Linked DNA regions of Saccharomyces cerevisiae S288C. Changing the gene in region 4 together with the main gene of any one other region gives a genetic interaction. Each region holds a gene or a part of one and is shown on either strand. Other genes may lie near its edges.

Region 1 (7,775 bases), on a different chromosome or scaffold from region 4:
ACATGAACCATCAAGAGATGGGAAAGAGAGAGTTTGCTGGCAGCATCCACAGGATAAACAAGCACGAGAGCACATATGAGAGCGATGGACACACAGGTACAGAGTGCTGAAAGAGGATTGGTGTTGCCTCCCATGAATTCAACTGTATCGTCGGCGACGGCGGCTACGACGGCCACAAATACGGATACAGATACAGATGGAGATAGAGATGAGGAAAGGGAGTCGTTAGCAGAGGATGGTAGCGAATGGGTGCCCGCATATATGCTTACCAGAGACAGGTCACGCTACTTGGGCCATTTTCTGGGTGTAGACAAGATGCTGGAGGCAGTAAAATGCAAGTACTGCGGTGTGATAATAAGACGGCAAGGAAACAGCATAAGCATGGCGGAAGCCTCGCAAACTCATTTGTGGAGCACGCATAAGATAGACCCGAATGCCAATTACTATAGCGGATGGACGGGCGTAGAAGCAGGTTCTACTTTTATGGTCAGACCACCTTTGAAGAACCATCAAGGCGGTAGCGCCACAACGAACAGCATTGCTAACCTGCTGGAAATAGACGAGGACTTTTTGAAGAGAACTAGGGAAAAAGAAATGGCCTTGCCTCTTGTGCAGTCGCTTGCGATCATAATTGCATCAGAAAACTTGCCTCTGTCGTTCGTAGACAACACTGCCGTACGCCTTTTGATCAATCAGAACGCCAACTCACTAAGCTTCATTGACCATGACTTAATTCTGAATGCTATCAGGTCCATCGCATATAATCTCGATAGAATCATTCAAAGGACAGCTTTGCGAAACAATTCCGATTTGTCGTTGATTATCGACAAAAACTACTTACTAATGGACCCAACCGATAGATCTAATCAGTTATCAAACAGGTTGAAGAACCAATTATTTGAAATGCAAAAAATCAATTTTTTCTCTCTAAGCCACTCCGTTTGGAATAACACGATATCTATATTGAGTATTCAGTACTATGATGATTTTCATTCCCAAGTAAAGACTTTACCCCTTATCATCCAAAACTTACATGAATATAACAATGACCCCAAACTATCTATTCCAGCTCAACTGCTCAAAATCTCACAAGAATTACCTGGTTTACAAAATACTGTGATTTCTATCACTCTACCAAGATCTCAAATAGTAGATCTACTAAACGTAATGGATAGCCAACCCTTTTTCCCGAATACGTATACGAATGCTAAAAACTATTATCACAATTGCATTATTTCCATAATAAATTCTGCGATATTGCCATTGTTCGGTACGCCTAAATCCGCCGATATTACGCATCCGAGACAATCATCATTCTCCAAAGAACCTTTGACTTTATTGGACTCTCTAATTGATTTGTCAAATATAGATATTTCGAATTCCATTTTTTCCAGAATCAATTCTTTTTTGGATGATTTACAATCTAATTCGTGGCAGTTAGATAAATTCCGTTCATTGTGTGAAAAATTTGGCTTCGAATTCGTTTGTTCGAAATTCGATTTATCCCGTTACTCTACCGCCACCGTTTCACTGCAAACTTTTTTGAACCTTCGTCCCATAATAGAAGAATATCAATCTTCTATCCAAATTGAAAAATTCAACGAAATCGACTTTCAAATAATAGACTATTTATTAATTACTTTGAATTCCATCAATAGAATACTAAAGTTCTTTACTTCTTCCAAAAGCTTAAACTTTACCTATGTTTTGTTCGCCATAATGTCTATTGAAAAGCATCTGTTGTCCACCTTGGGCAGCCTACAATTTCAACGGTTAATTGCACCATTTGAAACATTTTTGTCTAAAATTCAAGAATTCAAAACCATTTTATTTTCAGACGATATGAACCTTTTAGCAATGTTCTTGTGTCCTGCGATTTTATTCGAAAGAGAAGTCCTGGAATATTCTTTTCATACCATTTCACTTTCTGAAATAGTCGACAAACTTTCTACATCAATTTTCAGTTTATTGAAAAGGTTTTTGAATTTACACACAATAGGCAACGTTAACAACAGTCATAATACTTCCAATCATAGCAACATGAACATTCACACTGATAATCAGACGAACAACATCAACAATAGAAGCGGCAACAACAGCGACAATAATGATAACGAACATGATAACGACAACGACAACCACTCGAATTCAAATACGCCCGCATCAAGAATAGATATAGATCCTACTGGTGGAGAAAATTCTGTATTACCGGAACAACAACCACAGAATAGCAATAATAACCTATCATTTGGTTCTCTTAGCGATACCCATCATTTATCGGACTCTACCATATCAAAGGAAATAGATAGTATCTTTTTACAAATCATTCAAGAGGACTTATATGATTACTTGAGTACAGTAAACTCCATCGTACCCATATCTTACAGGTCGTATTGTGAACAAAGCAATTTCATTAGAGATAGTGGCCGTTTCAAGAAGAGAATAATAACAGAGGACTCTATTATTGGAGAGCTAGAACAACCAATGAACTTCATTGAAGAGTTACTTGATATCCATGTTCCTGTGTGTAACGCGTTCTGGTCCCAATACTTAGATAATGATGCTGGGCCGATAATTAGAATTTTGTTCAAGATAATGCAATGTCAGTCATCTTCCTCCATTAGGGGAGAGTACTCATTTTTAAATGACTTCATTCCCAGAGTACATCCCGATTTAACTCAAGAGATTATTAAAATTAAATTATTCAATGATCAATTCGTGGCAAGTAAAGTGGATTACGACTTGGACACTTTACAAACTGCAAGTCAGTATCTTCCATAGGACATACAAAGGAACAAAGTCTGTTTGTTTTAAATTTTAGCTGCTATATAATTTTATTTTATAATTGTAATGTATCACTACTCCTCACTGTAAGCGTGCAATTCTTTGGGCAGCTAAGGAAATGATTAATCAAAATGGGAAAAACACCAAGCCAATAATCTATCATTTCTATAATAATGATTTCATTTATCGTACATATTTAATATAAAGAAAATGTTAACATTTAATTTTTTTCTTTTTCATTCGCTGTCAAAAATTCTCGCTTCCTATTTAAGCTTTCCTGGAAGAGACCTTGGTGTTAGAGGTCTTGACACCAGTAGAAGAACCGGATGCAACGGAGCCGGAAACTTCAGATTCCTTCTTGACTGTCTTTTTACCACCTTTCTTGTAAGATTGGATGTAGAAGGAAATAAACAAAAGCAAATAAGATGTTAGAATCAAATACCCATAAGCAGCAGCAGCCTGAGTACCATAACAAGTACCCTTGTTTGGTAAAATACCGTCCAAGTATTTGTGAGCATAGAATGTATAGGTAGCAAAGTAAACAAATACCAAGTCAATCAAAAATTGAATAATTTGGAATCTAGTGACCCATTGCTTCCACCAAACTCTAATACCACATGAACTCAAGAAGTAGTACCAGTACATGATAACGTGAACACCCAAGTTTAGTAGGATAACTACCCATTCAACAGAAGTACGACCAATTAATTGAGTGTAGCACAACAAAGCGGTGGCACCGTGATGGTAAGTGTGCAAAAACAATAACTTCTTTCTTCTCAAAACTAAAAACACAGTGTCAATCAATTCTACGAATTTGGTCAAATAGTTCAAATAGTAAAGAGTAACTAATTTTGGTGCGAAGGCTTCCTTAGAGCAGATAGACCAGAATAGACCGTTGTGATAAACCATAGGAACCAACTGTTCTAACATCAGCAACCATAAAACTAGAGAAATAGAAGTCAAAAACAAGTTGTGTATCTCGAAAAGCAATTTAAACTTTAATGGAGAGGCGTTCAAGGCGCGTAAGATAGCTTGGCCACCAAAGATAATAATGTAATAAACGATAATAATACTAACAGCATGATACCCGTTAGCCAAGAAAGTCTTATTGTGAATAAACTCGAATTGCTCAGCTGGATAGCCACTAAAGTATTCAAACACTTTGGAGAAAATTGGCCATAATTCAATACCGAATGGGTTCTCAATGGAAGGAACATGAACCTTCAAGAAACATGAAGAAGAAGAGTTCAAAGACTGGAACTGGTCGGCAACTGCTGCTATAACAGTAGATGTGGTAGTGTTCATGACTGTTTATGTTTCGTAAACAAACGGAAAAAAGCCGAATAAATAAACTAGAAGTAAGCTTGAAGCGAGTGAAGAGCTGTCAAAAACCAATCAATGACCAAATAAAAAGACACCAGATATGCGGAAAATACACAGTACCTAACTGGGGTAATAAGTTAAATAAAACTTCAAACAAGGCTAAACAACAAACAGAAGACTCCAGATAAATATTTTATACAATTATTTACTAAGAACCTGTGAAAAAAAAAAAAGACAAGCCAAATGCGTAAGCCAACCTTTTGTTTATTCACAGTCTGGAAAATTTTCTGAAAATTTTTCACTTTGTGGACGGAATAAAAACTTCGAAGCTTTGGGAAGAAAAATTTCGCGTTTTTTTTTCTCGCGTCATCAATCATTTGCATACAAATCCCTCTGACGGTGAATTATCATTATTATATTATAAAATTATTATTTATGTCGTTTTCCACTATTGTCATCAATGTTTATTATTCATAATTCTGCTCCTTTTACAACTTTAGTTATGCTTTTTATTCTAAAGAAAATAAGGAAAGTCTATATACGTTGCTATCTTAACCCCAGAAATCTAACGACGCAACTGTATCATACCCGCGATAATCCTCGTAGCAGTACAGGATTTCTTGAGTACTTGTTTGTAGAAGTCGAATCTTATCAGCAAGGACGCAACGAATTAATTCGCCAGTTTCAATCTTTCTGATCTCAATGAAGTTGCTGTCGAATGCCAAGATGTACGGGTACCAAATTGCAAATTTTTGGGGCTCTCCCTCCCAATGAATAATATGCGATTCTTTCTTTCTCCAACCCTGATTATTGACAAAGAAGGCAAATTCTGTGTAACACAGCAAAAACATATTTCCCACACGATAGATTGCCATTGGTTTCAAAGTATCCCTTAGTGCAAACTCTAATGATGTATCGGCCGGATCTAACAAGGATTCATGAGCATTCTGTGAAATGCTAACGATCTGAAAACCCTTTTTACAGCCAATGCATAGGTTGGCCTTGAGAAATGAAATAGAGACAGGTTCAGAATCAAAAATAACCTCGGTGATTTTTTTCTTGAGACTTTTTTTGTTACCGCTACCACTACCATTTTTTTCGGCCAATAATGGATGTTCATGCTCGAAGTACTTAATTGAATGCGATGAACTGTGTGCAGTCACGATTAATCTCTTACCATTGCAATCTCCTTCTGCGAAGAAACTCACATGATTGATCAGTTCCTTGTGATGCTTTTTGAAGAAAGATGTCCCATTACCTTCTGCTTCGATTAATGACAGCGGACAACTGTATAATTTTTTATCAATTAAAAGTATGATTGATTTGAATTCTTCTAATACAGCAATTTGAGTGATATTATTTCTTTGTACTAGTTGGATTGGAGTTGAAAAAAAAGCAGAGCTTTTATGTCTATGATCTTTATTCTGCTGTCTTTTAATGTTGCTCATATACAATCCAGAGTTCGTTGCAATCAGAAGTTTTCTACCCCCATCACAGGAAGTAACACTGTTAATTTTGTTGGTGTAATCGAAGAACCTATCGCTCATTTTCGTTACATTGAACATCTCCGTTTTGCTTATAATAGCTGCTTGTCCTTGCTTTATTTTTTCCAAAAGCGTTTGCAATCCAGCGTATTGCGCAGCATATAATGTAACTTGATATCTCTGCTTGGCACCGTAGTATAAGAAAGTTATTGCGTTTTTAGGATTACTCGTGTTGTATTCTGGTTGAATTACAGTTCCTGAACAATCTGGGTGGTCTCCAATATATTTCCTCAACGCAGGCATATCTTCACCTGGACATGCAAATAACAATGGCAATGGAATGGGCCTTTGGAATACCTTATGCTGGTGCCATTTATTAACTGCTTTGGCCTTTAAAAATAAGAGCATATTATCTAGAAGATAAAATTGTATGTCACCAACAACTGTTCCGTCCGATTTTGACAACTCCTTCCGTGATAGTATACCTTCATGTTTAATTTTTCTCCTTTCGTCATTTAATCCTAAATTAACGTATTCGTTTTTGAAAAGAATCTTTTGTTTCAACAATTTTACATCATGTCTATCTTGTGCAGCACCACTTGCTTGATCAATCCTTTTCATAAAATCCCTTAATGCATCCATGGCTTTGCTTAAATCTTCATAATCACTTTTGTCCTTCTCGGGGTCAGTAGATTTCATGATTTCTTTGACCAATAGCATATATCGACCTGGTCTTGAAACACCTTGAGATAAAAACGAATCAATACCATGACGTAAGGAGGAGCTCATCATATCGTCATCAAATCTAGCAAAATAGGGATTGACTGATCTTTGGGTTTCAATCAAGTACTTCGCATATGGTCTTGAAGCGACATATGAAACAAATGGTTCAAAAAATGGAATGAATCTTAAAACAATGTCCCCAATTCCTCTCACAACTGGTGAACTTCTTTGCCTATCAGTTAAAGCCTTCAAAAAACGTCTATTCACTGAATAGATATCGTTTATATGTGCAAAAACATGCTTGATGAAATTTTTTCTAATATCTGCTGAAATAATATTTGTTTCAGCCAAAGTCTTCATGAATGTGTCTCTTGTAATTTCTAATGATTTTACAAAGTTCTTCTCCGTGATATAAACTTCATAAATAGCCTCTTGTCTTTTTATTTCCTTTTTTGGTAAGTTTTCCCAATCCTCTTTAGATACGGAACTTGTCCAAGATGGCTTTTCTTCGTCATCATCATCCAATGCCATTGATATATTACGTTTCAGGCCGCCATTTGGTTTCAGATTTAACCTTGCTTGTTGCTCAAGACGTCTTGGACACGAAATAGAGTAACACAAAGCGTCTCTTGTGCACGTAGGGGAATAGCATTCCGCCAGTAATGTAAACACACCATTGACGTTATGAATGGCTGCAGGGTTCTTTTGCTGGGACAATGAACTACTCATATGTAGCCTCGACCCTGTCAAAGTTGCCTGATCACTATTCAAAGATGAAGTTGAACTTGATGGAACCATTCCGGAATTCGGATAAGAGTGGTTCCCGGAATTAAAAGATGATGAGTTTGGGAGTAGCATCAGTGGATCATGGGCGTTTGTGGAACCTGTTCCTGTAAATCTTGAGTTATCTGTAAATTCGTAAACTTCATGTGGTGAATCTCTTAACCTGTGCTCGTATACCACATCATGGAACAGCTTTTGTGCATCTAGTGATCTACCAAATAACAAGGCTAAGTTTCTATCAGAAGTTCTAATGATAGCACAGATGACATCGACTGCCTGCTGCCCTGTAAATGCGTCACGGTAAACTAATCCATCCTTCTTATGTTCCCCGAGTTGTATCGAACTTTTAAATTTTGTGGCGACTCTTGACAACAAAGCTGGATATACCTGAGGTTTTTTTGATGAAGCGCTCATAACAGGTCTAGATGCCGACAAAGGTGTCATACTACTTCTACGTGGAGAAGATAGAGAAGTTCCTGAAACCGAAGTGTATCTTTTTAAAGCTAATGAGGTGGAAGAAACTCTCGTTTTAAGACCCAACCCAATATTAGACGAGCTTCCCATAACACTTGAGGAGTTTCCAGACCCGTGGACATTATTTAGGCTACTGTGACTGTTTGAAGAGTGATGATGATGATGATGATGATGAGGATCTGAGAATGGGTTGGAAGTTATATC
Region 2 (7,894 bases), on a different chromosome or scaffold from region 4:
CATAAAATTCCTTTATTTGCCACAATCCTTTGGCACCACTGTTTAGTTCCATTAATTCTTGCATTAAGATTCCAAAAGACTGCTTACCCATGCTTCTCCATTTTTGTTCTCCACTGATTCTGTACATATAAAATATAGATTCAATGATATTCGAATCCAACAATCTTCTGGATTCTACCTTGTTGACCCAAAATGGCCAGTCTGGATGGTTTTTCCACTGAGAACCCATGGTATCGTCCGTTGTAATATGCGGTTTGATATCCTTACCAAGCGTAAAAACTCTACGTATTTGCGTTACTTCGTCGCCGTCTATTTCAGCAATCGATTTCGAGCTTCCAACAGTATCACCTTTTATGTTTTGAGTCTCTGTTATCCCATCTTTGCTTAGTACATTTCTCTTAGCTTTCTGGTCATTCCCACCTTTCCCATAATTCGAAACTTTGATCCCGACATCTAGGTCATTTTCAAAAGTTTCATATTCGCCGTTGGCAATCATTCGTGATTTAGTTTCGCCGTTAAACTCGCAATTCCCATTAGTCTCATCAGTGCAAGGGTCCAACTCGAATTTTTGAGGGAGCAGCCCGTCGAACTCCTCCATTAGCATAAAACAACTTTCTGTTATTATTTCGCTCATTTCCAATAGTGACGATGGTAAAATATATTTCGTGTTGACACCGCCTCGGTGGGGAACACGTGAACTTAAACCTAGAATGCCGCCAAGTCTGCATGAGTATAACGAGACATCGTAAGATTTTCTTATCGTGACATCTAGCTCATTAGTCGTGGGCATGAATTGAGATTTTGTTAGAATGGAATTCAGAAAATTAAACTTTTTGTTTTCCGTTTGCTTGGGCAACATGGGTCGAAAAGTCATGAATTTAAAAATGTTACTGATGGAATTTGTTAAAAACGTTTGCGAGTCTATTAATGATTTATCACCTACGGTGTTTTTTGTCGAATCTTTTTTAGTACCGTCTTTAAAGTTTCTTTTCTCAATTATTTCGTCGACTGCTTCTACCTCTGAACCAATACTGGGGTCCATCGTTGCAGCATTAGCATTTTTACTTGAGCCGTCCAGGATATCATAAGAAGATTGGAAGAGGTCATTGATTTTGAATAGATTTTCTAGAATGGGTACTGTTTTTTCATTAATTCTATAAGCCTGGTATTGAGATTGTTCTTGGAGGCTATTATCATCTATTGGAGGATTTAAGAATTTCCCTAACTGCTGACAGTGTACGAACTTGAAATTTTCATTGATACTTTTCATGATGCTGGATCCCTTTAGGTGTGCACCATTCTCAATTTCCTCTTGAGTTAATAACTGGCAACCAGAGGCATCAACGACGTCAGGCAGCATAAACTCCATATCAAATTCGTTATATGATTGACGTATAGTGGTGAAAACTCTTTCAACAGCATCAAAATACTTATTCAAACGGGTTAACTGTGACAATCTGATAAACGCGAGTGCCATAGTAGTCAATTGACCTGATGGAACAGTACGGTCTGGAAATCGATTTCTCAGATCAGATTTCCAAAAATATTTCAAAATAGGAATTCTATTAGGGGTATCAAATGATCTTAATATGAAATCTGCAACATGTTTTGCTTTGTTAAGTAATCGTTTATCCATAGATAATTCGTATGCAGACAGTAACCCTTCTAGGACACGGGTAGTGATGTCAGGAATATCAATAACTTCCATTGCTAACGGAGGTACTCGAAAGTCAAAATCTTCTATTATATTAACAGAATCTTGAAAAAGTTTCGTCTCGCCACATAGATACAATGTATCTAGAGAATCAATTAGATCTATGGGCCAAGTAGATTCCCTTCTGAGGTTACTTTTCAGCAGCAACTGCTCTTGGTTCCATGATTTCATGAAAATGTCCTTTATCTGTTTTATCATATCAACATCTGGTGGCAATTGCATTGCCGGCTGTATCTTATGAACGTCATTCTGGCTTATAGAAGTTAAGGAAGGTGATGAGTATTCGAACAAGACGGGATACTTTTCCTTATATGTCAAAAGAGACGAAATTGGTAAATTCGAACCAATCTGGTGAGACGATCCCTTTAACAGCAAGGGAAAGTACTTGTTTTTTTCTCTCAATGTAGCTGGATCTGACAAATCCACTGCAACGTTGCCATTTTCCTTGTCGGTGGCTATTCGGTCAGAACCGGTTGACGATAGGTCTGGAGGATCCAGTTTCGAAGAACCTTCTGTATTGTGCTCATAGTTGTTTATGGACGGTAGTGAGTCGTTTAAAGCGTACGAATTCAAGATATCGATTTCATTCTGGAACGTATAGTAAAACAATAGCGATATGGTAATGAAAAGTAAGAGAACCGATCGTACTCTTCTGAAAAGAGAGTATACTAATCGCGCTATGGACATAAGGTTTTGCTTATAGAGTAGTGGCGGCCTTTTTCTAGTTAACACTTGCGCTTCACCGAAATCTTGGGCATTTTAAAGCTTCCAGCTTCCTATTTGCCTGTTCTTAAATTTTCCAGCTCTTCGATTTTCTGTTTTTTTTTTCACTAGAATAGGAAAAAGAGCCATTAAATGAACGCAAAAATTTAATATACGAATAGCGCATATTGCACTAACGTGAGGTGTACATCATAATGATATGCGTATCTTAAAACATGTATGTGTATATAAATATATAAACGTTATTCGTTGTGTGAAAGTTCTTGAACGTGAAAGAAAGAAAAAAGATGAGACAAACAAGGCAACCGTATTCAGTTGTTCTTCTTGGTATTTGGGTCGTTTTCATAGATTCTATCATTATCATCACCTTCGACCTCCTTGATGAAATGTTCAACTTCCTTAACTTGAGCGTCCCAGGTCTCCTTAGCATCTCTTAACTTAGGATCAAACAATGAGTCATCTGGTCTACGGTAAGAACCCCCTAGTCTGTCCCACAGAGTGGTGAATTGACCGTAGTTGTAGTTGAAATATAGATGGTGAACCGTGTGGCAGGCAGTACCGTTGACGGCAGGATTGTTTGATAGGTATTGACCGTCATGAATCATAACAGTCCAAAAGTTAACAAAAGTGAACAGAATCAAATAAGAAACCTTGTGTAATGGCAGAATCAATGGGTAGATGTGGTACGAGATGGATTGCAAAAACCCGTCTACAGGATGGAAAGAATGAGATGCGAAAGGTGTGCAGACCAGCCACTTGTGATGAGGCTTGTGCAGAGCACGGTAGACCCTTGGCCAATGCAACCATCTGTGCGCTAAATACACACCGCAATCAGTGAAAAAGATGAAAGTGAAGTACTCGATAATGAGCTTCCTTACACCGTGGTTTTCATAATCAATCTTCATGTATAGTTTAGAATGGCCGTTCAATTCCATAACAAACCATGGAACGGTCAACATCGACATCCATGGGATAGCACTGACTGCCAACTTGATTTCCATTGCCATTTGGTTTTTCAAGTAACGAGGATGGTTGAAAATCGACTTGTCAAACACAAACACGTAGCTGAGACTAGCCGTGAATAAGTAAAGTAGTAAACCAAAGATCGTAACAATAACCCATAGTGAGAGGAATTCTCTCAAGATGCTGGAACGAGGCAATAGCGATGCAAAAGACGTCGTCGACATATCAAACAGGAATGGCACCTGCCCGTAGAACCTTCTACATTCTTTGACGGCATTCTTGGAGTTCAAAGTCTCCTGCAAAATCGTAGAATTGCTGAACCCACTGTTCAACCCTAGCAATTTCTGCCACTTGACAGGAATATTAGCTGCCAACGAAGCGGGCAGAACTTTAGCGTACAAGTCGTCTAAGACATAATGGTCAGCGACTTCTAAGACCAAATCCATATCTCAAATCTAGACGAATATTTTTCTTATTATCTTTTTTTACAAATGCAACAAACTGACCTCCTCTGCAACCACTTCAAAGAACAAGACAAATGTAAAGAATGAATGAACAAGTGAATGAAAAAACGAATTGATAAGAAAGATAGAAATCCGCCTCTAATATATACCGCGATGTTTCTTTCGACCGTTACATAATAGCAGCAACAACAATACCCGATCGCTGCTGAACCTCTTGTTTCAATGCACCTGCTGTTCTTCTTCACCTTCTATTGTGCCACTTATACGAGCCTGAATTTTTCGTTTATCGCAGCCATCGGCCTCGTATACACCCCGGTTGCCCTGGGGCGCAACTAAACGACCGAAATAATGCCCGGGAGTTTTCGGGTGGTCTGCCCCGGGCACCGATCTCGGTCGTTTAGGCCGCAGTGGGTCGTGCCACACGGCAGCGATGCAAGGGACAACGCGTCGTAACTTGCGATGCCCGACAATCGCAACAAAAGGCGTCGTTTCGCGGTTTTTTCGTATCATTTTTTTTTTCAGTTTTTCTTCTTTCGGCTATGAAAAAAATGGCAGAGCTGCCCTAATCTATTTTTATGGATGCCCTAATATATTGTCACTCTGTACGTAGGGCTTCCAGAATGCCCTTTCAGGAAGGATTCTAGCATAATAGACGCATCATATATTATAGCGTAGTGGTGCCAGATGCTGGGCTGTAAAAGGCTGTAGCAGTAACTGTAGTGTACTAAAGGCTCAGTTTTTTTTTTTTTCTTCTTTTACGTAATGGACGAGGTTGACGATATTCTAATTAACAACCAGGTGGTGGATGACGAGGAGGATGACGAAGAGATGCTGAGTGGGCTGGAAAACGACTCAAAGCAGGACCTCGAGGGGAATGATGACGGTGGTGAAGATGAAGAGGATGACGATGATGATGATGAGGACGATGATGATGACGAGGACGAACGAGAGGACGACGATGAACAGGAGGACGACGATGGTGAGGACGACGCCGCAAGAATGGATAAGACTGCTACACCGACGAATGAGCACCAGCATGATGAGCAAAAGGCTGCTGCTGCTGGTGCTGGCGGTGCAGGCGATAGTGGCGATGCTGTTACTAAGATTGGATCCGAGGATGTGAAATTGAGCGATGTTGATGGAGGAGTGGGGTCCAGGGAAGCATCTTCCTCTACACACGAAGCCTCTGCTAATGGAGAGGTTTATGAGTACTATAAGCACATGTTGAATGCCGCACAGATTGCGGATTCGTACAATATCTACCCCACGGCAGCCATACCCATCCAGACGCACGTCAATGCGTTGGCCGTGTCCAGGGGTCTCAAGTACCTGTTTTTGGGCGGTAGCGATGGATACATAAGGAAGTACGACTTGCTGAACACGCTTGAGGGGAAACTTTCTCTAACTATCCTGCAGAAGCATTCGTTGGCTGAGTCTATTCAGAACGCGGGTATCTTGCAGTCGTACTGGGAAAATGAGATCCCGCAGAAAAAATCAGAAATGAAACTCTCCGCTAATAAGACAGATTACGAGCCCAAAGTTAGCCCCGTTCATTCTTTGGAAGTCCAAAGCGAATGCCTCTTTATACTGAGCGGGCTACAGAATGGTGGGATTACCATGCAGGGCGTTCGCTACATGGAGGGGAGCATTGCGCACTATTTTAAGGGCAGGAATGGACATACCCAAATCGTTAACATACTGAGATTAAACGGTCAAGAGGACAGGTTTTTGAGTGGTTCCTGGGATAAGCGTCTTTTGGAATGGGATTTGCAGACGGGTGACATAGTTAATGAGTTTAAAAAATCAAGGTCTGAATTGTCATCTTTGGAAATGCGGCCGCTGTACTCGTCCGTGGATGTGTCCGGTAACGTCAACAGTGGTAAAGAGAATGAAAATGCAGATGACGATATGGATTCTCTGTTTGGTGATGAAGACGAAGACGAAAAGCAAGATGCTGGCAACGAACCCGTCGAGACGGGGGATGGTTCTAATGGTGAAGAGAACAAAGAACAGATATCTGAAGAATCTTTGAACATAGTCTATGATGAATCCGTTTTTATGACCTCAGGGTTGAACGGTTCCGTGCATATTTGGGACCGACGCATGACGCAGTCGCCAGCATTGTCTCTGGAGAGAGGTGCAGGCGTCCCACCGTGGTGTTTGTCCGCATGTTGGGGTGTAGATGGTGATCATGTGTATGCAGGGAGAAGGAATGCCTGTGTGGAGCAGTTTGACTTGAAGATGCCCTCGAAACCTATCCATAATTTGAAACTGCCTTCTATTTCAGGGCCTGTCTCTTGTGTTAAAGCCATGCCTAATAACAAGCATTTACTATGTGCATCGCGGGATAATATCAGATTGTACAACGTTGAAATTGCAGTAGATGCTTCGAATTCGACTACAAAGAGTTCTAAAGTGCCGTTCCTCATCGTGCCGGGCCATCACGGTGGTATTATATCAAACTTATACCTCGACCCCACTTCAAGATTTATAATAAGCACAAGTGGCAACAGAGGCTGGCAGGGGAATTCTACGGACACGACCCTTATTTACGATATAGACTTAGAATAGTGAGTTGTAATAATAATCATAACCATAATCATAATCATAATTACTCCGCGCGCCGTTTATTTTTTTTTTTTTTTTTTCAGGGCCACTGATCCCTTCATTTTGTGTCAGTAATTCAGGGTCCGGGCAGACAAAGGCATATTATACTATCAAAATTTGAATGAAAAGTAAAATGAATGGAGTTAATAATACGCTTCATATTAACAAAAGCACATAGACGCACGATACAAATACTAGTTCAAATTGTATTCCTAAGCCTTTCTTTCTTTTTTTGAAGGCAAGAACTCGCATTAGTTATGGAAGAAAACCAATTAACGTGCTTAATAGGTATGGCAAAGAAGTTTAAGAAAACAGACATTCGAACAAAAATTTACTAACATATAAATGTAAATTTAAATTTCCTTTTTTTTACAGTTGGAGAAACACCAGCAGCACAATTTCTAGGATGGAGACTAAGTTTGAGCAACTCTTTTATAATACTGGTCTCGCAATATGTGTCTAGTGACGAGTTAGTTGCCTGGAAATCGACAAAACTAGGCGCCAATTTCTACACGCCAAACATTCTCACTAAGGATATTAAAGAGCTGCACCACAAATTAAAACATAACGGTGCAAATACGTATTCAATTGACATTGTGTTAGTGTCTGCAATTTCCTTACAGTCTTTCGAAACAACTTGTCGATTGTTGTCAGATTACACGAACGACAATACGACTGTGCTTATTAGCACTGATTTTGGTTGCGAACTGGAGCCCATAGCCATAAGTTATTTTGGAGGGAAGTGCAAGTGTGTTATTTCCATTTCGTGTGAGGTTGAATGCAGACAGTTATCGCTTGGATCATATGCATTGGTCAACGACGATCAATGTGTAATAACTTTGGGATTAACTTATTGTGATGCTAATTTTGAAGCAAGTCCAACCATTCTGGAAAACACGAAAGCAGCTTCGTTAGAATTGCAAGGGATTAAGGGTTCAAATGTTCGCAGGTTCCTTCTTGGATTGACCGTTGCGAAATGGATGAAATCTAAATTAATTTTGGACCCAAAACAAATGGCATTGAAAATGTGGGAATTGCTTATTCCTAAAATCTCACTTAACATCCTTTCTATCATCTATGAACAATTTGATTATGAGAAAATGTTAGAAAACAAATCCACAGAAATTATTTTTAAAGATCTGGTGAAAGAGTTACTTGGAATTTGCTTTGCACAATGTGGAAGCAAAATTGCAAGGTTTTTGCTAGTAAAATCACAAGGTGAAGAAGAGATTAATTTTGGGAAAATCGTAGAATATTGCAAAGGTAAAAAACTGCAACTTATCAACTCTACGGCAAACGAACATCCGGAATATTTATCCTTACCGTTTGAGCCTTATTGTTTCTACCACCGATTTGAATATCCTGCTCAAATTCTTTTGCATCAGCCCATCATTTTGGCCAAAAAGTATGGTGTTTCGTGTTC
Region 3 (9,209 bases), on a different chromosome or scaffold from region 4:
TGACATCCCTGTCACTTGCATTAGACAATAACTACTATATTACACAATTAGACATATCTTCGGCATATTTGTATGCAGACATCAAAGAAGAATTATACATAAGACCTCCACCACATTTAGGAATGAATGATAAGTTGATACGTTTGAAGAAATCACATTATGGATTGAAACAAAGTGGAGCGAACTGGTACGAAACTATCAAATCATACCTGATAAAACAGTGTGGTATGGAAGAAGTTCGTGGATGGTCATGCGTATTTAAGAATAGTCAAGTAACAATTTGCTTATTCGTTGATGATATGATATTGTTCAGCAAAGACTTAAATGCAAATAAGAAAATCATAACAACACTCAAGAAACAATACGATACAAAGATAATAAATCTGGGTGAAAGTGATAACGAAATTCAGTACGACATACTTGGCTTAGAAATCAAATATCAAAGAGGTAAATACATGAAATTAGGTATGGAAAACTCATTAACTGAGAAAATACCCAAATTAAACGTACCTTTGAATCCAAAAGGAAGAAAACTTAGCGCTCCAGGTCAACCAGGTCTTTATATAGACCAGGATGAACTAGAAATAGATGAAGATGAATACAAAGAGAAGGTACATGAAATGCAAAAGTTGATTGGTCTAGCTTCATATGTTGGATATAAATTTAGATTTGACTTACTATACTACATCAACACACTTGCTCAACATATACTATTCCCCTCTAGGCAAGTTTTAGACATGACATATGAGTTAATACAATTCATGTGGGACACTAGAGATAAACAACTGATATGGCACAAAAACAAACCTACCGAGCCAGATAATAAACTAGTCGCAATAAGCGATGCTTCATATGGTAACCAACCATATTACAAGTCACAAATTGGTAACATTTTCCTACTCAACGGAAAAGTGATTGGAGGAAAGTCGACAAAGGCTTCGTTAACATGCACTTCAACTACAGAAGCAGAAATACACGCAGTCAGTGAAGCTATTCCGCTATTGAATAACCTCAGTCACCTTGTGCAAGAACTTAACAAGAAACCAATTATTAAAGGCTTACTTACTGATAGTAGATCAACGATCAGTATAATTAAGTCTACAAATGAAGAGAAATTTAGAAACAGATTTTTTGGCACAAAGGCAATGAGACTTAGAGATGAAGTATCAGGTAATAATCTATACGTATACTACATCGAGACCAAGAAGAACATTGCTGATGTGATGACAAAACCTCTTCCGATAAAAACATTTAAACTATTAACTAACAAATGGATTCATTAGATCTATTACATTATGGGTGGTATGTTGGAATAGAAATCAACTATCATCTACTAACTAGTATTTACATTACTAGTATATTATCATATACGGTGTTAGAAGATGACGCAAATGATGAGAAATAGTCATCTAAATTAGTGGAAGCTGAAACGCAAGGATTGATAATGTAATAGGATCAATGAATATAAACATATAAAATGATGATAATAATATTTATAGAATTGTGTAGAATTGCAGATTCCCTTTTATGGATTCCTAAATCCTTGAGGAGAACTTCTAGTATATTCTGTATACCTAATATTATAGCCTTTATCAACAATGGAATCCCAACAATTATCTCAACATTCACCCATTTCTCAGAATAGATGTGAACTCTTTGGTTTTCGGTCAGACTAGACGTCAGTAAATAGTTTGAAAGCGAGAATAAAAAATAATTGTAATGGATAATGAAATGCCGTTAATTGGTAGTATTAATGAAGAATGAATATCCATCTTTTCATGCAATATAAGAGAAAAATATAAAACTGCTGAGATACGGACAAAAATCACCTATGTACAAGTATTTATTTTATCATATACGGCGTAAGAAGATGACGTCAAAAATTGAGGAACAGTCATCGAATTTAATGGAAGCTGAAATGCAATGATCGATAATGTAATAGGATAATGAGTAACAACAATTAAATTGAAGAAGAAAAAATAGTGATGCTCTGTAGAGATGTCATTTCCCTTCAATGTTGCTATATTCTCCTGGCACATTAACGTATGCCCACTATTAGTGCCTTTAACAATAGAATCCCAACAATTATTCAATTATTCACCCATAAAATCCACCTATTTTTCAAGAAAGCATTAGATTTGCTCATTATTATTTATTATTAACATAAAAGTGCCTTTGGTAGTTACTATGTATTTAGTGTGGTGACCCGTATTCCTCATATATATAAGTAGCTACCACATTATGTTCAATCAATATATCTTTAACTCAGCTCAGCATTGTCTGAATTGCTCGCTTAAGTTTTTATCCTGTGATTAGTGCATTTACACATAAACGTATACCGGGTGTACCTCAATATACTATGTAAACATTTAAATTGTTACCATAACAACTCATGTTATTATTAATGATCACTTGACAACATATAAAAACGAAAGAAGAAATAATAATACTACTATGTATAAGTATCCATTTCCTTTTGTGGATTCCTCAAAATGGCCAGTATATTCGGAAGTAACATAATGTAGTTATTCATCGATGAGGTTCACATTCTGTAGCACTGACCCATCGAAAGAAAAGAGTTTATATTTTGATAAATTACATAAAAGCTGAAAAGTTTGTAGTGGTCATAGAAGGTAACCCACCTCCTAAGAAATCCAGCATCATATGCATACCACCACCTCCACTATACTCATCAACATCCTGTGGTAAAACCTGTGATACGCTATCCAAGAACCACACTTTGTCCTTTATTTCTGTGGTATAACCTCTCAATAATGTATAGTAAGACCTCATTATTCTCATGGCCCCTAGGTCGCCTGTCATTAATAATGCTAAAAAAGTCCTATCCAAAAGAGCAGGAAATGAGAAGACTCTCAACATAAAATCTAATTGATTTTTTTCGCGATGCAGTTTGTCCAAATATGCTAAAGTTATCAAGTACGGTGAATCAATTTCTACGGGATATAAATCTGCTATACTTTCGTCAAAGCATACGAGTTCCGATATCGTATTATTGTTATTTCCATCACCATTATTGCTATTGTCATTATCATTATTATGATTACTTTGGTTGATTACAGCTTCACCCAAATCACTCAAGTCAACAGAAATTAAGTTATAAAACTTGGATGTCTCCGACAGGGGCCATACAGCAGTTAGTATAGTTACGGCGCCTTTAACATGGAAAATCCATGCCGTTGGTGAGCTGCTTGAAGCATTTGCCAATGAATCTAGGATTAATATTAGAGCACTAGCCACCAAAGCATCTGTGTTATCATCTGAAATTTCGAGCACAGCCTCTCTTAACAGTCTCAACGCTTCTAAACGATGACTAGACACGTAGTTATCCAAGCCGGCTTCAGTTCTGGACAAATGAGTGGCGCTAAAAGCCAAAATTGTATGCATCAAGAAGGGAAAATGAAAAGCCAAATCCGGAATATAAGTGCTCCATACTTCAGGACCAGAAATGCCTGCTTCGGTTATGGTATGCCATACGTCAGTACAATAGTGATGAAAAAGTTTTAGATCTATCAAATTCAAATTTGATTTTCTAGACAGCCCGACTAATTCAGGGACTAGTCGTGAGGCTGATGAAGCGTTTGAATGGGGAGAAGATTGTTGTTGAGTGTGAGAATTTGATGAACGTGGAGACAATGCCTCCGAGTTGGATAACAGGTCACCCATTGGGGACGTCTTCAAAGTAGGAGAATTTCCCAAAGCGGTCCTGTTGTCCGGTATAGATAACAATGACTTTGTAGAGGTTACATTGGATACTCCCGTTGAAGGGGACGCAATGTTTTGATCTATGGAAGGTTTGGACAACGTGTGTGGGGGACTGATTGTGAGACCGGTATTGTCGATTATCAAGTTTTTGTTATGAGATAGTATATCAGAAGCAGTAACTTTATTTTCGTTTCCGTTAAGGGGGTTATTGCCCGAATTAACAGCATCCGTCTTAGTATTATCCAATGGGTTCTTCGTAAATTGCTTGTTTTTGTCCTCCTGTTCCTGTTGCATATTTGCGAGTGCCTCCTCTGCTGTGCTAACTTTGATTGCTCTGTTATTAGATGTAGCAAACTTTCCGAGGCCAAATAACTCTTGAAACTCAGAGGCCATTCCATTTGCAGCACCGTATGGAAATAATGTATTGAAGCTCTTCATATTGAAGTTCAAGCCCATCTTGTTCAATTGCGCTAGCTGGTCGAAGGGAATATTGCTGAAGGGGGACTGTGTTCCTTGTTGTTGTGGAATTTGCTGATTTTGTTGTTGAAGTTGTGGCTGCTGCAATCCATTCGTCACCGAATTTAGCCTACCAGGCGAGAGTAAGCCGTTAAGGCTACTTGATAAATTCATGGCCGTTGATTGAAAACTAGGTGTTATCGGTATACTCAATGGCGAATTCCCTGGTAGGGCCATGTTTGGGTGGTTGTTGTTTATCATTGAACTGGGAGCTGTTTGTGTTATATTATTATGCGCTTCAGCTCCATTTGCACTGCTGTTGGTACTGTTACTGGTGTTATTCACTAAACTCGCTAATAGGTGCGGTAACAAAAGATTCTCCATATTATTGGATACGGATGGAGGAACGCTATTAGGGGAATTGCTTTGTTCATCAGTACCAACATGTGGCAACAGTTGCTGCTGTAACTGAACTTGCTGTTGTTGACGAAATTGCTGTTCTTGTTGATGATGAAGTTGCTGTTGTTGTTGTTGTAACATGATGGCATTGTCACTCAGATTTTTCTTGCCTACCCTATCGTGGACCGCTGATGCAAATTTTGACGACGAAGAATCTTTTCTTCTTCTTGGCTGAATAGGGCTGTAAACACAGTCCAATTTCATGTTTGTACATTTCTTGCAAAATGGTTTGCCTTCATCACATTTTACTCTTCTTCTTTTACAATTGTCGCAACCGGTCTTGGACTTGTTATGAAACTTCCGTTTCCCTGTCGAAGTCTTGCTCACTTTCTTGCCCCCAACCTCAATCAGTTCAGCATCCTTCTCTCTTTCTTGTCCAGCATTCCCATCATCGGATGTCATGTTATGTTAGATGGAGATCTATGGATAAACGAAATATAAACCTTAAATGAAAAAAACCGTCGACTTAACTCCTCTATATTATGTAAAGGCGAAATGTTATTTGTGCCTTTGAAAAGTGGAGGTCTTGGTTGCTTCTCCTTCGACGATAATCGATTTCGGTGACTAGTTAGTAGATGATGTAATCGTAGACGCAGGGAACCCTTGCTTTTCCCCAATCGTAACAAAAAAAAACAAGGGGAAATAAACTATTAGATAGTACGAGTTCGTTAAGTTAAAAAAAAGGCTATAAAAGTCGAAGAACGAATGATTACGACCAACATCTATTGTTCAAACTTGCCTTCGTTGAGTTTATCGAACGCGCTCGTTTAAATTTTTCCGACAAGAACGAGGAACGAGTCACCAATTACGTTTTCGGCTCTGTCGGTTGCAGGATCTGTAAAAGCGATATAGATACACACGTCAGCATGAAGCTCTTATGATTTGGCGAGTAGTGTTAGTACGTTAAATGCTACGACTCGGCATATACTGTGCTCGTTTTTATCAGTTTCATCCGAGGATTGTAGCCTTTTTTTTTCATTTGTTGATGTTTCTCTAGTATTTTCCGTCTTGTAGTGGTTTCGGGTATGTTGAACATAAACATTAAAAAAGACGATTAAATAAACTTGAGTTTGTACAAAGGAAAGCTGTAGTCATAGAGTATTTAGAAAAAAAAGCAGCCACAGTTTACATGAAGATGTGACCAATGAGGAGGCATCGGTTTGCCTTTGAATCTCAATCGCTTGAAAATTGAGTTCTTTTCGAATGATGACACCTCCGAGAAATGGCATTTCTATGCTAGCGCCACTCTACCCTTTCAAACGTCCGTACTCATATGAAGTTTCATCCTTCACGCAGCGATCTAAAAAGTTGTAAAAAAAAATACATTTAGGCCTAGCTATATATGCTACTATGTATCATTCAGTGAAATGGCTGAGGTTATATAAAATACTGGGAGGTCGTTTTTACGCTAAAGCAGACCTTGCGGATCTTTTCCTGTAGAATATATTTGTAGCATAAGTCCAATTTTACGGGCGCATTTTCAAAATCAAGGTGATATTGACATATTTTGAAGAGCACCCAATGGGCTAGCTGCAAGAACAAAGAGACCAGAAAGCCTAGAATTAAATGCCAGAAAAATGGAAATTTATTCTAGACAAAAATTGTTCGGCACCTCTACAGACGTTTAACGAACCTGGTCCGGCCTTTGAGGCGATCAAAAAAAGGCCCATTTTTGTGTTCCGCGTAATTGGTTTGCGCCTTTCCATGGAGCTTGGTGGGCGACATTCTCAAACTGGTTTCCTGATACATCATGCACGCCCGTAAAGGGTTTAAGTATTGATTGCTAGCCTGAATGTTTCATATGCATACCGTGTCTATGCAACGAATATATTTCAGAAAAAAGCACGAAAGCCAAATTTTTGATGTTAAGAGGTGTTTTTGCCCGTAAACGGAGAAGACGTGGTAGGACTCGCAAATGTCGCGTTTAGCGTTGAAGAACATGGAAGTATTGAACGTTTGGGGCTTGACGGCTCGACTTTTTTGCACTACTCCGCCTTGAACAGACGGATGATCCTGGCGCAAGAAACAAAGAGAATCAACTCTGAGCAAAGCGAAAAAATGAAATACAACGATAATAAAAGGATAGGAAGGTGTATATATAAGTTAATTTTAGATATAGATTAAGAAAAGATGGGCATATACTAATATGACTACAAAATTGCACATTTTTTACTTTTCTTGATAACAGGAGGCTCCAAGGCGGCCACGATAGCTTCATCGAATACATTCTTCAAACCGCGTTGTGTTAGTGCCGAACACTCGACATATTTTACTGCTTTCAGTTCTCTTGCTAACCTGGAACCTTGTTCTGATGTAATCGGACGTAATCTTTGTCTTTGCAACTTCTCGATGATTACCTTGTCATCCCTTAGATCAATCTGCGTACCGACGACCAGGCATGGTACACCTGGACAATGGTGATGTACTTCAGGGAACCATTTTTCTTTAACGTTTTCAAAAGAGGGTGGGGAAATAACACTGAAACAAACCAAAAATACATCAGTAGAAGGATATGACAAGGGTCTCAATCGATCGTAATCTTCTTGACCGGCCGTATCAAACAAACCTAACGTATATGGTTCATCACCAATCATCACAGTCACCGCATAGTTATCGAACACTGTTGGAACATAGTCGGCTGGAAATTGATTCGTTGTATAGGAGATTAGAAGGCACGTTTTCCCAACAGCACCATCACCGACAACAACACACTTTAGCGTTTGCATTTTGTGGAAGAGCTAATACGTTTATTTCTTGTTTTATAAGTTTTGCTTCTCTAATTCGTTTGTTAACCTATCTCCTCAGGAAAATAGAATAGTATAATAAATAACGAATATAATTTTTTGCGACAAAGGAAACCTATTGCAAAAAGTGAAGAATGACAGAGAAGGATAATCAGTATATCTCGGTACACCTGGAACCTATTTATCAAAACGCTGCTCTTGCCTTTTCCAAGAATCGCGTCTATCATCGATCAATCAACCTTGTTTGCTTTTTTTTATCACTTTTTCCCGTATCTTGTTTCATTTGGAAGGGCCCAATGGAAGCAGTATTACCCGTATTGAATGACCCTTGAATCGACGGTGGAAGACATCTTTAATGCGATGTTTAGAAGACAATGTGCCGTATTTACCTGTATATGTGGATTATCTAACAGTCTACAATACAAAATTAGGTGTAACGTAGCTACAACAGTTGATAGAAATAATGCAACTTTTTTTAAAAAAAAAAGAGAAAGTGCTCGAGGTGGGGATTGAACCCACGACGGTCGCGTTGCTTTTAAAGGCCTGTTTGAAAGGTCTTTGGCACAGAAACTTCGGAAACCGAATGTTGCTATAAGCACGAAGCTCTAACCACTGAGCTACACGAGCATTTTCGAAAGAGACGTAAATTAAATTGTTATTTATACCGTAGATGATTGTTTTTCACGAAATTACCCTTTTGAGTTCCGGCTTGTTTCGTTCAACAGTACTACCACTGATAAGTTAGCTTCATTATTGGAAGAAGGTTGATAAATGAAAGAAGATTCACGACTATGCACGGCAACTGGTAAGTAATACACGGGCCCAGATATTTATTTTAATTCTTGGAAAGAAAGTATAAATTTATAGGTTCGCTATCAGTAAGTATACGAATTTCAAACTACGTCATATATAATATCCAAAAGAAGATGAAGGCGATGCGGTCACTCTAGGACTACAACTTATCCATCGCCTCATTTAGTGCATTCACCGCAATGTATACATCTGAAAATGTATTATATAAGGGAGCAGGAGCCAATCTAATTACGTTTGGTCTTCTTGCATCGCCAATGACACCATGGTCATGCAAATATTGGAAAACTTTGGGCATAATATCCTCTTTTCCAGTGTCAGAATCGAAGTAAAGTGACAATTGGGCGCCATGTTCTTCATCTGTGCTTGTTGGAGTTAATATTGTAAAAAAACATGGTAATTTCTCGATCCTTAAAGGGTGTTTGTAATACTTGGAGGCTTCCAACAGTTCCGTCATATAGTTCGTCAGCAACAACGATCTTTTACGAACTTCATTAATACCATTAAACTTCGCAAATAATTCCAATGAACTTCTCAATGCCACTGTGTCAATAACGCTTGGATTAGATTGCCTGAATCCCAATGCTCCTGGAATCGGCTCGAATACTTCCAGCATTTGAAATCGCTTAGCAGGATCATTGCCCCACCAACCAGCTAATCTTGGCAAACTTTCCTTAGCAGGGTCTGGTTTAGTATGCTTCGAGTGGACAAATAAGCCACCAATTCCACCAGGCCCGGCATTCAAGTACTTGTAAGAACACCAACAGGCAAAGTCAACACCCCAATCATGAAGTTGCAATGGGACGTTCCCTACAGCGTGTGCTAAATCCCATCCAACCAATATGTCGGGGAATTGGTGGGCAAATGAGGTGATTCGGCCAATATCGAAATATTGCCCCGTGTAATACTGAACACCTGACAAACAGACCAGCGCCAATTCATCTTGATTTACCTCTATGGTATCCAGGATATCTTGAGTTCTGATATAAGTCTCTCCCTCGCGTGGCTCGATCTGAA
Region 4 (2,886 bases):
GGGAGACTTCCTTATTCAGGTTTTCCACGGTACCGGGATTGACCAGCTCCAAAGATTGTCTGTGAGAATGCAATTGTTTGTACGTATCCACAACAAAGCTAGATATTGGGTTTGAGGAGAAGAAATTCCCCTTGGATTGCTTCGCAGTCAAAGGAGAAAGGGCCGGGATAGTGGGAATTTGAGAGGCCTCTGCTAATGGAGTTGGTGCAGACATGATTCACGTCGGTTATTGGTAGTCTTTTATTGTTTTGCACGATGGTTAAAAGGCCTTATACGCATACACCGCTTTCAAAGAATTGAAGATTGAGTTCATGTCCACCAAAAGACGCCTTTTTCACTTTTTGCAAACGCCGAATATATCCGTCGTCGTAGGTGATAAAAAGCTAAAGAGAATATAAACAATAGATAATAATAATAATAATAATAATAGTAATAGTAATAATAATAATAGTTATATTATAATGGACTACCGCATGACTGATTTCGTGAGGTCGGGCAGCTTAGAACTTTTTGTTTTGCAACAAGTTCTTACCCATGTCCCTGGCAGTCAGGTAGACAGTTCTATATAGAGTGTATAAATCAAGAGTACTGGAGAAAGTGTCCAAAAACCCGAATGGCAACATACATGGAATCCAGCCTTGAGCCAATTCAAGGGCAAAGGAACCACCTGGCATGCTGTATTGCTTGGCGTATCCCTTCTTCAAGTGATGAGTCATACCAGGAGTGTAAACTTCGGCTTCAGTGGCATATGGCAATGCTGCGATTTGCGTACCATGTAAGATGGTAAAATAGTCGTCAGCAAAGTGAACACCTGTGTGCCCTTCAGTACCAACAGCGGTTCCGAATAGAATTAAGTACTCGGATACGGAAGCGTGTAGGATGATCATTTGGCCCATCGCACCACCAGCATTGTTGAAGACCCATTCTTCTTTGACGTACCTGTTGATGTATTCGTCCCCGTAATGAGAGGCAAGTGCGTCTCTGACATCCTGTAACAGGTCTTCAGTGGATAAACCTTCTGCTGCGTTGTGTTTGCTAATCACCGAGTTACATATTTCGTTCAAAGTTTTTGGATCGAACATGTAATTGGTTGGCAACCAGGTAGTGAACAATACGTTCATAATGTAGCCTACAACACCAATCAACAAAAGGAGTGGGAAAAACTTCATGGCTATAATGGTCTGGGCTAGTCTTAGTTTGATTGAGCGACAAGAGAGATCTGAACCCAGTGTCAAACGTTACCGCTTCTTTCTCTTATATACCATGGCGCTGCAGATCTATCCAAATTCTTCCATACTGAAAATCATCCAAACGAGAACGATAGCACCGGTAGTTTTCCTTGCGGCTTATACGAGGGCCGTGGTTCGATTCTGCCCTGGAGCGTAAGGGCAGGAATGTGCATTGCATAAGATCATAATGGGATACTTCGTTGATAATAAGCAGAATCAACATAGCAGACTGCTAGTGGCATACTCCACAACCCTTGTTTTTTTTTTTTTTTTTGTTTGAATAACTGTACTTCTATAGAAGCTCTATCTACAGCATGTTTGACGTTTGCTAAGTTGTAGGGAGAAAAGAGGAAAGTGAAAAGAAGGTAAGGAATTTATCGGAACTAGAAAAAGAGTTTGGATCTTCGTAGTGAAGGTATCGAACGTAACGCTATGACTCCCGAACAAAAGGCCAAACTAGTATGTGTGAAAATGATTCTGTGTTTGTATTTTAACCGTGGGTTTCTTTTTACTAACAATTTAACGATGAGATGAGCTGTGCAGGAGGCTAACAGGAAATTAGCAATAGAACGGTTAAGAAAAAGGGGAATACTGAGTAGCGACCAATTGAATCGAATAGAAAGTAGGAATGAACCTTTAAAAACCCGGCCTCTCGCAGTTACTAGTGGCAGCAATCGGGATGATAATGCAGCAGCCGCAGTACATGTGCCAAATCATAATGGACAACCGTCTGCGCTTGCTAACACTAACACTAACACTACTTCACTTTATGGTAGCGGAGTAGTTGATGGAAGTAAAAGGGATGCGTCGGTACTCGACAAAAGGCCAACGGATAGAATCAGACCTAGCATAAGGAAACAAGATTACATTGAGTACGATTTTGCCACCATGCAGAACTTGAATGGTGGTTATATCAACCCTAAGGACAAGCTTCCAAATTCTGACTTTACCGATGACCAAGAATTTGAATCTGAGTTTGGATCTAAAAAGCAGAAGACACTACAGGACTGGAAAAAGGAACAACTTGAACGGAAAATGCTGTACGAAAATGCACCTCCTCCAGAGCATATTTCAAAGGCGCCGAAATGTATTGAATGTCATATTAATATTGAGATGGATCCTGTGCTACATGATGTGTTCAAGTTACAAGTTTGTAAACAGTGTTCTAAGGAGCATCCAGAAAAGTATGCACTACTGACGAAAACAGAATGTAAGGAAGATTACTTTTTAACAGACCCCGAATTGAATGATGAGGATCTCTTTCATAGACTAGAAAAGCCGAACCCTCATTCGGGGACATTTGCAAGAATGCAACTATTTGTTAGATGTGAAGTGGAAGCCTTTGCGTTCAAGAAATGGGGTGGAGAAGAAGGTTTAGATGAGGAATGGCAACGTCGTGAAGAAGGAAAGGCTCACAGAAGGGAGAAAAAATACGAAAAGAAAATCAAGGAAATGCGACTGAAAACAAGAGCTCAAGAATATACTAATAGATTAAGAGAAAAGAAGCATGGGAAAGCCCATATTCATCATTTTAGTGATCCAGTTGATGGAGGTATTGATGAAGACGGTTATCAAATTCAAAGAAGAAGATGTACAGACTGCGGGCTAGAAACTGAAGAAATTGACATTTAAATGTTGGTTATGTATATAAGAATAT

The links.
Region 1: of ERG2 (region 4) and ELO3, a mutation in one rescues a mutant of the other (synthetic rescue), as found in Saccharomyces cerevisiae (5 studies listed by BioGRID, with this or other methods).
Region 2: mutations in ERG2 (region 4) and ERG3 together harm fitness more than expected from each alone (negative genetic interaction), as found in Saccharomyces cerevisiae (5 studies listed by BioGRID, with this or other methods).
Region 3: mutations in ERG2 (region 4) and ECM22 are lethal when combined (synthetic lethality), as found in Saccharomyces cerevisiae (3 studies listed by BioGRID).

Annotation. Positions count from the first base shown.
Region 1 is NC_001144.5:863,668-871,442, reverse strand, and holds ELO3 (fatty acid elongase ELO3), read right to left. Parts: upstream 4,090-7,775; coding exon 3,052-4,089; downstream 1-3,051. Other genes in the region: VID22 (Vid22p), read left to right, coding at 76-2,781; Rho family guanine nucleotide exchange factor ROM2, read right to left, coding at 4,659-7,775.
Region 2 is NC_001144.5:249,813-257,706, reverse strand, and holds ERG3 (C-5 sterol desaturase), read right to left. Parts: upstream 3,847-7,894; coding exon 2,749-3,846; downstream 1-2,748. Other genes in the region: putative mannosidase MNL2, read right to left, coding at 1-2,401; SAGA complex subunit SPT8, read left to right, coding at 4,627-6,435; OSW2 (Osw2p), read left to right, coding at 6,729-6,759, 6,847-7,894. UniProt on the Saccharomyces cerevisiae protein: C-5 sterol desaturase; part of the third module of ergosterol biosynthesis pathway that includes the late steps of the pathway. ERG3 catalyzes the introduction of a C-5 double bond in the B ring to produce 5-dehydroepisterol.
Region 3 is NC_001144.5:597,424-606,632, forward strand, and holds ECM22 (Ecm22p), read right to left. Parts: upstream 5,041-9,209; coding exon 2,596-5,040; downstream 1-2,595. Other genes in the region: Rho family GTPase CDC42, read right to left, coding at 6,789-7,364; BNA5 (kynureninase), read right to left, coding at 8,335-9,209.
Region 4 is NC_001145.3:665,820-668,705, reverse strand, and holds ERG2 (C-8 sterol isomerase ERG2), read right to left. Parts: upstream 1,170-2,886; coding exon 501-1,169; downstream 1-500. Other genes in the region: TOM complex pore protein TOM40, read right to left, coding at 1-214; DNA repair protein RAD14, read left to right, coding at 1,662-1,688, 1,773-2,861. UniProt on the Saccharomyces cerevisiae protein: C-8 sterol isomerase; part of the third module of ergosterol biosynthesis pathway that includes the late steps of the pathway. ERG2 catalyzes the reaction which results in unsaturation at C-7 in the B ring of sterols and thus converts fecosterol to episterol.